Anolis sagrei: one gene and its partner. Each later gene encodes a partner of the first gene's protein in a complex. Links are inferred from orthologs where the notes say so. Each region holds a gene or a part of one and is shown in the gene's direction. Other genes may lie near its edges.

Evidence for each region. The genes of interacting proteins can lie anywhere in the genome.
Region 2: MKS1 (region 1) and TMEM107 share a complex: the UniProt entries of both Homo sapiens proteins name them as parts of the tectonic-like complex. The link is inferred for Anolis sagrei from reciprocal best matches to the Homo sapiens genes MKS1 and TMEM107.

The regions. Positions count from the first base shown.
Region 1 is NC_090031.1:28,095,873-28,103,413, reverse strand, and holds the start of MKS1 (tectonic-like complex member MKS1), read left to right. Parts: upstream 1-4,235; 5' UTR 4,236-4,334; coding exon 4,335-4,414; intron 4,415-5,633; coding exon 5,634-5,737; intron 5,738-5,824; coding exon 5,825-5,892; intron 5,893-6,792; coding exon 6,793-6,948; intron 6,949-7,027; coding exon 7,028-7,125; intron 7,126-7,541. Other genes in the region: RABGEF1 (rab5 GDP/GTP exchange factor), read right to left, coding at 1,133-1,311. UniProt on the Homo sapiens protein: Component of the tectonic-like complex, a complex localized at the transition zone of primary cilia and acting as a barrier that prevents diffusion of transmembrane proteins between the cilia and plasma membranes.
Region 2 is NC_090026.1:7,267,981-7,275,460, forward strand, and holds the start of TMEM107 (transmembrane protein 107), read left to right. Parts: upstream 1-4,077; 5' UTR 4,078-4,213; intron 4,214-6,877; 5' UTR 6,878-6,908; coding exon 6,909-6,995; intron 6,996-7,480. UniProt on the Homo sapiens protein: Plays a role in cilia formation and embryonic patterning. Requires for normal Sonic hedgehog (Shh) signaling in the neural tube and acts in combination with GLI2 and GLI3 to pattern ventral and intermediate neuronal cell types.

The DNA.
Region 1 (7,541 bases):
GGGAGTCCAATGGACTCCCAGAAATTAATTACAAAAATGTGAGTCAAGCACTGAAAGGGTTAAAAGGATGCAATGACGCAAAAAAAAAACCCTGCAGTTCAATATAAACAGATGTGCCTGTTGCTTAGTAGCCCTCAGTCTGTGAGAGGTCTCAGTGGGAGATAGATCTCAGTATGAGTAGGCCTCAGTGTTAGTTCACCTCACTGTGTGAGAGAGATGTCAGTATGAGTGGGCCTCAGTGGGAGAAGGCTTCAGTGTGATGTTGGCCTAAGAATTAGTAGGCCTCAGTATGTGAGAGAGGTGCCAGTATGAGTAGACCTCAGTGGGAGAAAGGCCTCAGTGTGATGCAGGCCTAAGCATTAGTAGGCCTCAGTGTGTGAGAGAGGTGTCAGTATGGGTAGGCCTCAGTGTGAGAAGGCCTCAGTGTGATGTAGGCCTTAGTGTTAGTTCGCCTCAGTGTGTGAGAGAGGTGTCAGTATGAGTAAGGCTCAGTGGGAGAAGACCTCAGTGGGAGAAAGGCCTCAGTGTGATGTAGGCCTAAGCATTAGTAGGCCTCAGTGTGTGAGAGAGGTGTCAGTATGAGTAGGCCTCAGTGTGAGAAGGCCTCAGTGGGAGAAAGGCCTCTGTGTGGTGTAGACCTAAGCATTAGTAGGCCTCAGTTTAAGAAGGCCTGGTATTAAAAGCTTGTGTGAGAGAAGCCCTAGGTTGAAGACCATCATGTGTGAAGCTTCAATGTGAAGGCTGCTGTGTGTATAAACCTACTGTGGAAACTCCTGTGTAACAGAGGCTCTGTTTATCTGCATGAGAAAGAAACCCGGTATGGAAGCAAAGAAGGAAGTATAAAGAACTTTGTTCAGGATATGGAAACCCTGTTCTTGTAAATAGTGCAACCATATTATTTTACTATAAGGACAAGCCTCCTATGGAAGACATAGCATTGGTCTGTGTGGTTTGCTCTTTTTGTCACTTTGGGCTGCTGGTGCTAGGTTACACCACTGCTGATAAGTTATTCTGCTGTACATTTATGAGGGTCTTTTGTTAATAAGCCTTCAACAAAAGCAGCAGCCCCTCCTCCATTGCAGCTCCACTGGCCAGAAAAAAGGATGGACAAGGCTTTGCAGTGCTGGCTTACCTCTCGGCCAACTCCCAGTCCTCCTGGATCTGCTTCTGCCGAGCCTTCTGGTACTCCTCCCGCCAGCACTTGGAGCAGTAGCCCTGCCAGGCTGAGTTGCCATAGTAGCCGCAGCCTTTCTTGCAGAGCAGCTCAGACTGGTCCACGTGGATCCCACGGCGCTCCGACTTCAGGCTCATTGCGCTGTGGGGAGAGAGGAAGGCGGGCAGAGCAGTGACCCACCTTGGCTTTGCTGAACAAGGTGAAGTCCATATGGTGCAGTGGGCTCCAAGGACGCAACTATGTAACACTATGATTTTTGTTCCTAGGTTATCAATGTCATTTCCTAAGTGGTTCTATCATTTTATAAAACATGGGAAATGTTTATTAAACTGCACACACTTTTGTTTTGACATGACCTCCTGCAGCACCTTTTGCTCTAGTTTTTCAATGAATATCCCATCATTGGGTCCCAATCTATTCAATGTCACAAAAACAAACTTTCTGGAGTAGAACAGCTACTTTCAAAGTAAAGGCCAGGCAATTGAACAGGAAATAACATTTCCGAACAGAACACTTTTCAAATTGTTACATAGTGCAATGTGTATATTACAAATAAATTAATACTCTGCTAAGGAATGCTCGGTATGGATATACATACTGACATATAGTCACACAGACAAAAATATACACACTTATATACAAATAACATAGCTTAAATTTACTTCTAGAAAGTAAATTTCAACAAATTCCTACATTTCAACAAATCCCTACATACATATACCATGCATATTTAAAATACAGGTATATGTGCATAAGCACATAATTTACATTATATATATATATACACACACACATCTATGCACATAATTTTATATAGAGACACACATGCACAATTTATATATTTTTGTATTTTATATATATGTACATAAGCATACTTTATATTTTTATATTCTAAATATATATACATAAACATATGATTTATATATATATATACATACAAATATACACACAATTTATCTCTCTCTATATATATGTGTGTGTGTGTACATAAGCACATCATTTATATTATGTATAGCACATAAATTATATATATATATATATACACACACACACACATACATATACATACACTACACACACACACACATATATATATATATATACACTCACGTGTGTGTGTGTGTGTACATAAACACCTGAGTTCTTTTGGGGAGAGAGGGTAGGTTAAAAATAAAGTTATTATTATTATCAAATACATGCACAAATGTTATAGATAGATAGATAGATAGATAGATAGATACACACACACAGATGGGTAAATACGCTTATATTAATTTTTGTACTATATAAGCATAGATTTTGTTTTGTGTCTGACTCTGGCGGTTGGTGCTCATCATATTTATTTTATACTACATTTCTTTTATACTAAAATGTGACAGAAAAATGATTTTAGTGATGAGACGCTGAAAGCTTGTGTTTGATGGTTTTTATTGTTTTATTGCTTTTATATGGTTTATATTATATGTAATGTTTTTTACTGTATTTATGTTGTTTGGGGGCATCACCTCTAGACTGGACTACTGTAATGCGCTCTACGTGGGGCTGCCCTTGAAAACGGCCCGGAAATTTCAGCTAGTTCAGCGGGTGGCAGCCAGGATGTTAACTGGTGCTCCTTACAGAGAGAGGTCAACCCTCCTGTTCAAGGAGCTCCATTGGTTGCCATTCATTTTCCGGTCCCAATTCAAGGTGCAGATTTTTACCTATAAAGCCCTAAATGGTTTGGGACCTGCCTACCTGCGCGACCACATCTCTGTTTATGAACCCGCACGCTCCCTTCGATCATTCGGAGGCCCTGCTCACGATCCCACCTTTGTCGCAGGCGCGTTTGGTGGGGACGAGGGACAGGGACTTCTCTGTGGTAGCCCCCTGACTCTGGAACTCTCTCCCCAGGGACATCAGACAAGCCCCAACATTGGCTATCTTTAGGAAGAGCCTGAAGACCTGGCTGTTCCAGTGTGCCTTTCCGGAATAGGAAACTCCTAGCTTAAGTCCCAAATGCACCTTAGAGATTCAGGATTATCTGCACTTGCACCTATCTCCAAATACCGCCTCATATTACCTGTCAAGTCCAGCACTTTTAAATTGTGTTCATTACATTTGGCCCGACCTGGTTTTAATTGCGTCACAGCGTCATTGTTACTATTTTCTGTTTTGCTTGATGTTTTATTATTTGCTTATGAGTTTATTGTGTATTGTATTTTGTATTGTTGGCGGCCTTTGTAAGCCGCATCGAGTCCTTTGCAAGGTATAAATAAAGTTAATAATAATAATAATAATAATAATTGACTGCCAACTGTAAACCGCCTCGAGTCACCTCTGGGTTGAGAGGAGCGGTATATAAATATGGCAAATAAATAAATAAATATTCTATATATTGTATATACATTATTTTATAGATATTTGTGCTATATTTTATACCATGTATTTTATATTTATTTTATACTATATATTTTATATGTTATTATATATTTATTGTATATTATATTTTTACTCTATATTTTTATTTATTTTATACTATATTTAATTTATACTATTTCACACTGATTCTATACTATACATTTTATACTTGCATATATAAGATAGGATATACACACAAGTTATATTTATTTCTATTCATGCAGAAAGATATACAGAGGCGCTTAAAGCATATACATGCATAGATATCTCTCTATTTAAAGAGACACACACACATAAATAAATAAATACACATTTTCAAAAATCACTCTTCTTCTTATTACTCTTACTCTTAAGCCATACCATAATACTAATCCTGAGACTTACCCTCCTGCTTTTTCCCCTATTTGTCCTCCTTCCTCCTTTCTTTATCTCTGAACCTTCCCTCAGCCTCTACTTCCTTCTCTCTTCCGCCTTCTCTATACGCGCGTCGACGTCATGGCGTCACTTCCGCTTTCCCAAATGCCTGTCATTTCTGTTTCTAGGTCTTTTCCCCCACCGGACAACGACTCCCATGATGCTCCAGGGAGACAGAGCCGGGCTCTACAATGTTAACTGCTGCGCAAAGGATTGTGGGGGTTGGAGTTCAATAGAGCCAGATACTTTTGAGAACCGCAGCCATCTTGCCGTCTCCATGGAAACGCGGCCTAGCAGGAACAGCGCAGCCTGAGACTCGCGTAGGAAAAAAAGAAAAAAGGCTCTGGGTATGGCAGAGGCGGCGTGGAATGAGGACACCGGCGTCGCCGTCTATCGCTCCCGGGACCCCATCGGCAACCTCCGCGTCCGGTGAGGCCTACCGCCATTTTAATCGCCCCTTTTCTCCCGTGAGGCCTAGTGCGGACTCCGGAGCCTTCGCTCGAGTTGGGCGCCACTGTTTCTTCTTCAACAAAACACCTCAGGGAGAAAGGGACTCCCACAACCAGAGATAGATAGATAGATAGATAGATAGATAGATAGATACACATATACATATGAAAACAGTTTCCATATGAAAACATATGGAAACTAAAAAAAAATTAAAATATATTTTCAAAATTTATTAATATTATTTATTATGTATATTGTATGTTATATATTATAGAAAATTATATTGTAATATATTTATAATAATAATAGTAATTTTATATATTGAAATAGATTAATAATATTTATTATATTTATTTAATAATATTTATTATTATAAATTGTATGGTATATATTATAATTTACATTGTAATATATTAATATTATTTATTTTATATATAATGTATATATTGTAGATTTATACTGTAAAATATTATTAATATTGTATATAATAGGTTTCTATTGTAATATAGTAATATTATTTATAAATAAAATTTATAAAATATGTGATGTATTATACATTTTTCTATATTTATAACATTATTTATATATTATGTTATATATTATATATTTATAATCTATAGTCATAATATTATATTTTACAGATTTATTTGGTAATGTATTATATTTTATATATATTGTATATTATAGATTTATATTGTAATATATTATATATTACGTATTATGTGTTATACATATTATAATGTGTATTATATATTAAGTGTTATATATTATAGATTTATATTGTAATAAGTTAATAATATATATGTGTATCATATTAATGGTTTATATACTGTAATATATTAATATTATTTACTATATATTATATGTTATATAGATTAATATTATATACATTATTATTATATAATATGTTATATATTATAGATTAATATTATATTAATAGTGTTATTTATATACCTGTTATAGATGTTATATATTGTAGATTAATGTTTTAATATAATTTTTATATATTGTACATGTTATAGATTAATATTATATGTTAATAATATGTATGATATATGTTGTATGCTATATTTTATATACCTATATATATAGATAGGTATATTATATATATATGTATACACACAACACACACACACACATTATTTGTAGTAGTAGTATTATGTTGTGAGAGGTTGGCTCTTCTTGTCCTCCCACGCAGGGTCGGCCTCCAGCGGGTGACGTCTACCAGTCTTCTCCTTCAGCAGCTCCAAGCCTCCTCCGGCCAGCAGCTCATCGGCTTGGCCACCCTTGGCCCTGTGGCAAGTGAGTGACTGCTTTGGGCTTTTGGGCCGGGACCACATTGGCCAAAGCCGCATGCTTGACCCGTCGGCCTACTCTTGTGTCTTTCAGGTGCCCCTTGTCCGGAGGAGGAGCGCGAAGAGGTCGTAGTTGGATGGCAGGAGAAGCTTTTCAGTCAGGCAAGTCTATGTCGAATGCAGAGATATTATATATATATTTATAGATACACACATGCACATAGATATAATATCTATAGCCATCTATCTTTGGCTGAATGGCCATCTATTGGGAGGGTTTGGATGGAGAAACTCTTCTGCCAGGCAAGTCTAAGTCGAATGCATAGATATTATAAACACATACATATATATGTGTATAGCCATCTATCTTTGGCTGAATGGTCATCTGTTAGGAGGGTTTGGATGGAGAAGCTCTTCCGCCAGGCAAGTCTATGTCAAATGCATAGATATTATACATACATGTGTGTGTGTATTTCTACGTATATATGTATATATGTAAATAAATATATAGCCATCTATTTTTGGCTGAATGGCCATCTGTCGGGAGGGCTTGGATGGTGTCTTCCTTTAAAGCAGAAGAGGGTTGGACTGAATGGTTCTTGGGGTCCCTCCAACTGTAGGATTCTCTGATATACATAATATATATCTCATATATCTATATCTACCTAGATATAGATATTCTGTGGCCATTTATCTGGATGATCCTTGAGGTCCCTCCAACTGTAGGGTTCTATAACACACACACACACACACACACACACATATTCATTCATTCTATGGCTATCTATTGGCTGAATGGCCACCTGTTGGGAGGGATCGGACAGTGTCTTCTGTTAAAGCAGAAGGGGGTTGGACTGGATGACCTTTATATATAAATATACACATAAATTATAACATTGTCACAGTCACCTTTTAATATATATATATCCCATATATTCTCATAACATTCTGATGGCTCCTGTTTTCAATTCTATACTTATGTACAGCAAAAAATTCTGTGGTCACTTCTCCTCTGCCCCAATCATACCATTTCATTCCTTCTTCCGTCCCATGTGCCCTCAGTTCGAGGTGGACCTCTACCGCAGCGCCGCGGCCTGCCAGACACCGCTTGACCGCCAGTACCACCGGGAGGTCCTGCGGCTGGAGGAGACCGGCGGGAGAAGCAACGCCCGCATCTTCACCTACACGGATCACGACCGCTTCACCAACCTGGAGGAGGTATGGTGCCCGTCTCATCTATGGGGAGCCCTGAGAGAGGGAAGCTGGGTCCGTGAGCCTTCTTCCTCTTGCCTTGCAGCATTGCCAGAAGGTGACCACGGCGGCTGAGGAAAAACCCTCCTACCTGGCCGAGCGCATGGCCAATGTCCGGAGGAGGCGGCAGGAGCGCCGGCCCAGGTCGGCCCAAAAGGCTTCAGTTATCCCTCTCTTCTTCTTCTCTTCTTCCTCCTGGCTCTTTCTTTGCCTCCATCCCTTCCCTTTTCTTTCTCCCTTCCTTCCTTTCTTTTTTCCTTCTTCCTTTACATTCCCCCCCCTTCTCCTTCCTCCCTTCCTTTTTCTTTTCCCCCTGCTCATCTTCCTTTCCTTCTTTCTTTCTTTCTTTCTTTCCTTCCCTCCATCCATTATTCCTTCCTTTCTTCCTCATTTCCCTTGCTTTACCTTCCTCTTCTCTCCTTCCTTCCTTTCTCCCTTCCTTCCCCCCTGCCCATCCTCCCTCCTTTCCTTTCTTTTCCTACCTTCCCCTCCCTTTCCCATTCCTTTCCTTCTCCTTCTCTATCTTTCTTTCCTTCCTCCTTCCTTTCCTTCCTTGCCTA
Region 2 (7,480 bases), on another chromosome or scaffold:
ACCATCTTAAAGCTCCCTGCTTCAACAGTGATGGCACAATCATCAGCATAGATGAAACTCTCTTCTGGCAGTGGCTGGTCATTTGTGTAGAAGTTGAACATGGATGGAGCAAGCACGCTCCCCTGAGGCAGGCCGTTCTTCTGTTTCCGCCATCTGCTTCTCTGGCCCTGGACCTCAACAAAGAAGCTCCTGTTTTGTAGCGGGTTTCCTATGAGGCGGGTGAGGTGGTCGTCCTTTGTGATATTATACATTTTTCTCAGGAGAAGGCAGTGGTTTACAGTATCATAAGCTGCTGACAGGTCTATGAAGACAGCTCCTGTGATCTGCTGCCTTTCAAAGCCATCTTCTATGTGCTGAGTCAGGTTCAGCACTTGCCTAAACCAGCACTTGCCACATCATGAAATACAAAATAGCAAATATAACAATTAAAAACATGAACATTAATAAATAAAGATTAAACAGTATACTTACGATCCATTTAGCCTATTGCCAGTCTGGTGGCTATTTATCTAGCCATAAACTAATGATTACTCCGCTTAACTTATCCAAATCCACTTCCAAGCCATAGACAAACATTATCAATTGTCCTTTAACCTAACTGCCCAAAGGCCTGGTCCCACAACCACGTTTTTACCTTCTTTCTAAAGGTGAGGAGGGATGACGATGACCTAATTTCCCTGGGAAGCGAATTCCACAGGCAGGGGGCTACCACCGAGAAGGCCCTGTCCCTCGTCCTCGCCAAGCATGTTTGAGACAAAGGCGGAGCCGAGAGCAGGGCCTCCCCAGAAGATCTTAAGCTCTGAGGTGGGCCGTAGAAGGAGATACGTTTGGACAGGTACGCTGGACTGGAGCCGTATAGGGTTTTATAGGTCAAGACCAGCACTTTGAATTGTGCTCAGAATTGGACTGGCAGACAGTGGAGCTGACACAACAGGGGGGTGGTGTGCTCCCTGTATGACGCTCCAGTGAGTAATCTAGCTGACACCCATTGAACTAATTGCAGTTTCCAAACAGTCTTCAAAGACAACCCCACGTAGAGCGCGTTGCAGTAATCTATTCGGGATGTGACAAGACCGTGGACCACCGTGGCCAGATCCGATTTCCCAAGGTACGGGCACAGCTGGCACACAGGTTTTAACTGTGCAAAAGCTCTCCCACCCACTGCCGAAACCTGGAGTTCCAGGCTCTGCTATGAGTGCAGGATCAATCCCAAGCTGCGAACCTGTGCCTTCAAGTTCCTCTGTAGTTCCTCTTTAGTTCTTATTTTCCCTTTGCTGCATTTTCGTCAATAAAAGTCTGTTTTGTTGCATAAAGAGGAAAATAACAGAAAAGGGAAAAAGATGCAATTCCTGGATTAAAAACATAAGAGTCCCCCCCCCCCCCCCCCCCCAATGTAGCACGGTGAGGCACCAGCATACTTAGGCAGATCTTGTGAAACTATAGCTCCCAGGGTTCCATAAGATTTAGCCTTGGCAGTTAAAGTGGTGTCAAATTGTTTTTTACAGCAGAGGGAAAACAATCAGGGACACCTGGAATATTGTGTCCAATTCTGGGCACCACAATTGAAGAGAGATATTGACAAGCTGGAATGTGTCCAGAGGAGGGCGACTAAAATGATCAAGGGTCTGGAGAACAAGCCCTATGAGGAGCGGCTTAGGGAACTGGGCATGTTTAGCCTGAAGAAGAGAAGGCTGAGAGGAGATACGATAGCCATGTATAAATATGTGAGAGGAAGCCACAGGGAGGAGGGAGCAAGCTTGTTTTCTGCTTCCCTGGAGACTAGGACGCGGAACAATGGCTTCAAACTACAAGAGAGGAGATTCCACCTGAACATGAGGAAGAACTTCCTGACTGTGAGAGCCGTTCAGCAGTGGAACTCTCTGCCCCGGAGTGTGGTGGAGGCTCCTTCTTTGGAAGTTTTTAAACAGGGGCTGGATAGCCATCTGTCAGGGGTGATTTGAATGCAATATTCCTGCTTCTTGGCAGAATGGGGGTGGACTGGATGGCCCAGGAGGTCTCTTCCAACTCTTTGATTCTATGATCTAATCACCTCTCAACAAAAGATTGCTCCAGGCACGCCAGGCCTTCAAACGCTAATCAAGGTGGTCAGTTGAAACATTCTCACCTAGCTCCAGCAGACAATAGTTCTTTGTCCCACCCTGGTCTTTCCACAGATATATAAACCCTTTTTCCCTAGTTCCAACAGACTTCACTACCTCTGAGGATGCTTGTCATAGATGCAGGCGAAACGTCAGGAGAGAATGCCTCTAGAACATGGCCATATAGCCCGAAAAAACCTACAACAACCCAGTGATTCCGGCCATGAAAGCCTTCGACAATAAATCAGGGACATCTAATCACCTCTCAACAAAAGATTGCTCCAGGCACTGCCAGGCCTTCAAATGCTAATCATGGTGGTCAGTTAAAACATTCACACCTAGCTCCAGCAGACAAGAGTTCTTTATCCCACCCTGGTCTTTCCACAGATATATAAACCCATTTTTCTAGTTCTAACAAACCTCACTACCTCTGAGGATGCTTGCCATAGATGCAGGCGAAACGTCAGGAGAGAATGCCTCTAGAACATGGCCATGTAGCCTGAAAAAAACTACAACAACCCAGTGATTCCGGCCATGAAAGCCTTCGACAATACATTGTTTATATTTTTGCAATGCAGGCCGCATGTACACTTTCAAGCAATGCAGCTTGAACTGGATTATATGCGTCTATACTGCCATATAATCCAGTTCAACCTCCATTATAATTGCAATGTATTCTTAGCCACAAAGGTGGACAATTTTGGAACTTGGGGGAATTTTGGAACAGTTCGGATTTGGGGGTAAATTATGCTCAATCTTTCTCTATTATCCATCTGTGTTTGTTTACAATAAACTCTGTGAACCACGTGATTTTCTACTATCCGCAGGAATCAGGCATTTTTTTTTCTCTTTCCCAGAGTAAATATTCCTCCCTGAACAGACATGCGCAGTAAAGACCACCATGGAGCTGTTATCCTTTAGCAACTGTATATATATATTTGGGATTTATAGGAGAGACATTCCACGCAAAATAGATGCGCTGTGAGCAGGATTCGAACCTACGCAGGGAGTCCCCATTGGATTTCAAGTCCAACGCCTTAACCACTCGGCCATCACAGCAGTACACAAGGATACCTCTGTAACCTTTCCAAAAGAAGGCAACTTGGGCAAGAATGTGTTTAGGTACATCTACATTGTTGAATTAAAGCAGTTTGATACTACTTTAACTGCTATGGAAACGTGGGTATTATAGTCTACCATGGTCTTTTTAGCTTTGACTGCCAAAGAGTGCTAACTGCATTAATTAATTGTTTTTTCCCTAAATTTAGAATTATCCAATTATTAGCAATTATCCAAGAGTGCATCTGCACTGCAGACTTAATGCAGTTTGACACCACTTTAGATGCCATGGGACTTGTAGTTTTAAAAAGTCCTTCCTGCTAAAATGGGCTGGTGCCCTACCAAAACTACAAATCCCAGGATTCCAGAGCGTTTGTGAAATGGCACTTAAAGGTATTTATTATTAGTTTAAAACCATTATTTTAAAGTATTTATTTACTTACTATTATTTACTAAAAGTCCTTCCTGCTAAAATGGGCTGGTGCCCTACCAAAACTACAAGTCCCAGGATTCCAGAGCGTTTGTGAAATGGCACTTAATAGTATTTATTATTAGTTTAAAACCATTATTTCAAAGTATTTATTTATGTACTATTATTTACTAAAAGTCCTTCCTGCTAAAATGGGCTGGTGCCCTACCAAAACTACAAATCCCAGGATTCCAGAGCGTTTGTGAAATGGCACTTAAAGGTATTTATTATTAGTTTAAAACCATTGTTTCAAAGTATTTATTTATTTACTATTATTAAAGTCAAACTGCATTAATCCTCCTCCTGAGAAATAGTAATCAGTAATCTCAGCAACTGGAAAAGAGCCTTTTCCTTTGAGAGGAACGAAATGGCAAGCAAGAGGTTAAGAGGATGGGCATTTACCCACAGTCAATATGGTCGACTAGGCTTCGTCACGCTTGGTAAAATCTCGCGATATTCTAGGAAGCGGGCAAAACAGAACAGAACAAGCCTCCCAAGCGGTTGCTATGGGCAACGGCGCGGCCTAGAGTTGAGGCCTTAAAATCGAGCCCTGGGGAAAAATTGAATGTTCCCGCCAAAACAATAGGTGAGTAAAGTGGGGAGGATATGGGGCTCTATTAATTAATTGGTTCATTAATTAATATGATGAATTCCATTAGGAATTGTAGTTGAAATAAAGGACAGGCCTCTTAGGCCTTGAATGGTTATACAGAAGAGGGAATTTAAGCAGATTGTACTGTTTGTACAGCATAGTGTCTAGATCCAGGGAAGTCATGCTCCCCATGCTCTATTCCGCCTTGGTTAGACCACACCTGGAATATTGTGTCCAATTCTGGGCACTACAATTGAAGAGAGATGTTGACAAGCTCGAATGTGTCCAGAGGAGAGCGACTAAAGTGATAAAAGGTCTGGAGAACAAGCCCTATGAGGAGCGGCTTAAGGAGCTGGGCATGTTTAGCCTGAAGAAGAGAAGGCTGAGAGGAGACATGATAGCCATTTATAAATATGTGAGAGGAAGCCACAGGGAGGAGGGAGCAAGCTTGTTTTCTGCTTCCTTGGAGACTAGGACACGAAACAATGGCTTCAAACTACAAGAGAGGAGATTCCATCTGAACATGAGGAAGAACTTCCTGACTGTGAGAGCCGTTCAGCAGTGGAACTCTCTGCCCCGGAGTGTGGTGGAGGCTCCTTATTTGGAAGCTTTTAAACAGAGGCTGGATGGCCATCTGTCAGGGGTGATTTGAATGCAATATTCCTGCTTCTTGGCAGAATGGGGTTGAACTGGATGGCCCATGAGGTCTCTTCCAACTCTTTGATTCTATGTTTAATTGGCAGGTTTTAAATGTGTCAAGTGTCTTCAGGTGCAAGGCTTTGTTTTGTTTTTGAGGGAGCGAGTTATTATAATGATAATAACAATAACAACTATTATTATTATTACAACAATAATAATATTTATTTACTTCATTTATATACCGCTTTTCTCAGCCCTTGGGCGACTCAAAGCGGTTAACAATAGCAAAATTCAATGCTCAACATCATAAAAACAGTTAAAAAACAATTAAAACAATGACATAATAAACAATCAATTAAACATAGCTATAACATCTCGTTAGCGTCTCATAAGTAGAATCGAGATCCAATCTCATCATCCGTTGTTCCATATTCCTATATTCATTACACTGCCTATTTAAATGCCTGCTCCAATAACCAGGTCTTCACTTTCCTCCAAAATGCCAATAGGGAGGGGGCCAATCTAATTTCTGTAGGAAGAGCGTTCCACAGCCAAGGGGCCACCACTGAGAAGGCCCTGTCTCTTGTCCCCACCAGACGTACTTGTGATGCAGGTGGAACCGAGAACAGGGCCTCCCCAGATGATCTTAACGTCCTAGCTGGTTCATAGAAGGAGATGCATTAGGACAGGTAAGTTGGGCCAGAACCGTTTAGGGCTTTATAAGCTAATGCCAGCACTTTGAATTGTGCCTGGTAGCAAACTGGCAGTCAGTGGAGCTGGCGCAGCAGATGAGTTGTATGCTCCCTGAGCACCGCTCCTGTCAGTATCCTGGCTGTCGAACGTTGGACCATTTGAAGCTTCCGAACAGTCTTCAAAGGCAACCCCACGTAGAAAGTGTTGCAGTAGTCTATACAGAATGTAACCAGAGCGTGGGCTACCGTGGCCAAGTCAGACTTCCCAAGGTACAGGCGCAGCTGGCGCACAAGTTTTAACTTACAAGGATGTTTTAAGTTTTACAAATAAACTTTATTTATACCCCGCCACCATCTCCCCAAAGGGACTCGGGGTGGCTAACATGAGGCCAAGCCCAAGGATTACAGTACAGCAAAGTAAAATACAATAGCAAATAATAATAACAAAGTAAAATATATTATAATTATATATTTTATATTACATGTAATATTGCTACTAATATTATAATATAATAGTATAGTACAATATAGTAATATATAATACTTATATTGTACTATGCTAATAATATAATATATTGTATGTATATATATCTTGTAAGCCTCTCTGAGTCCCCTTTGGGGTGAGAAGGGCGGCATATAAATGTCGTAAATAAATAAATAAATAAATAAAATACAAACAAATACACAATAAACAAACACAAAATAAAATAGTGGAAGAATAAAAACAGAGTGGGCAGGCGAAATGCACAGGATAAAATTGATAAAACCCTGGGTGAGATTAGGTAAATGGAATATTGTGTATCTGGGGGAGAACTCAGAAGGGCGAACAATGTGGTTGACCTTCACTAAGGGATGAGAGAAAGTGCATCATGAGGACAGATCTGTACTGGGACGGACATGGTGTGGGGATGATGATGATGATAATAATAATAATAATCTTCATTTGTAGCCCGCTACCATCGCCCCAAGGGACTCGATGCGGCTTACATGAGGCCAAGCCCAAAGTACATCAAACAAAATATCAAAGCACAACATCAATAAGCAATCAATCAATCAAATACAAATAATATAAATCGCATAAACAAAAAACAGTCAATAGTGACATAAACAATTTTAAAAATGGCCGGGCCAAATGTAATAGATTAAAATTGAAAATATGTTGATGTGGACAAGGTAAAATATAACTAGGATAGGATTATCATGTCCACTTAAAAGTTTGTGCCAAGTCCACACCAATCACACAAAATTATTATTATTAGCACCTATCATCCCATGCTAACACTTTGTAGTGATTTGTTTGTTTTTTTCTTGTCCTTTCTGTTGACAGGATTGCATTGCCCTTTGGATGCTTGGAGAGAATGCCTTTGGTCAGCGGAGTGGTACCCGCACGGTTCCTGACCATCACGGCCCACTTGGTCATCGTGATCACCATCTTTTGGTCAAGGGTGAGAGACCCATCCCCATCCTTGGGCTGCCATTCCAGCCTCCTCAAATGTGCTTCCAATTGTTTGTGCTTTTTAAAGACCTCCTCCTGTGTGAAAATGAATTATGCCTCCCTCAAGTGAACTTCAGCAAAACACCTTCCCTTCCCGGACAGATTGGCAATTCATCTAGTGATGTTGAATGTCAGTGACCAGGGAGAGCAAATGGGGTTGTATAGTAGAATCATAGTTGGAAGAGCCATCCAGTCCAGCCCGCTGCCATGCAGGAACACAGAATGAGGGCCTCCCGACAGATAGCCACTCAACTTCTGCTTAAAAACCTCCCAAGAAGGAGACTCCACTGCACTCTGAGGCAGCATATTCCATTGTTGAACAGCTCTTATCACCAGGTTTTTCCTAATGTTTAGGTGGAATCTTTTCCCCTGCAATTAGAACCCATTGGTCCGTGTCCTAGTCTCAAGTGGAGTGGGTATTTGAATATGACTCAG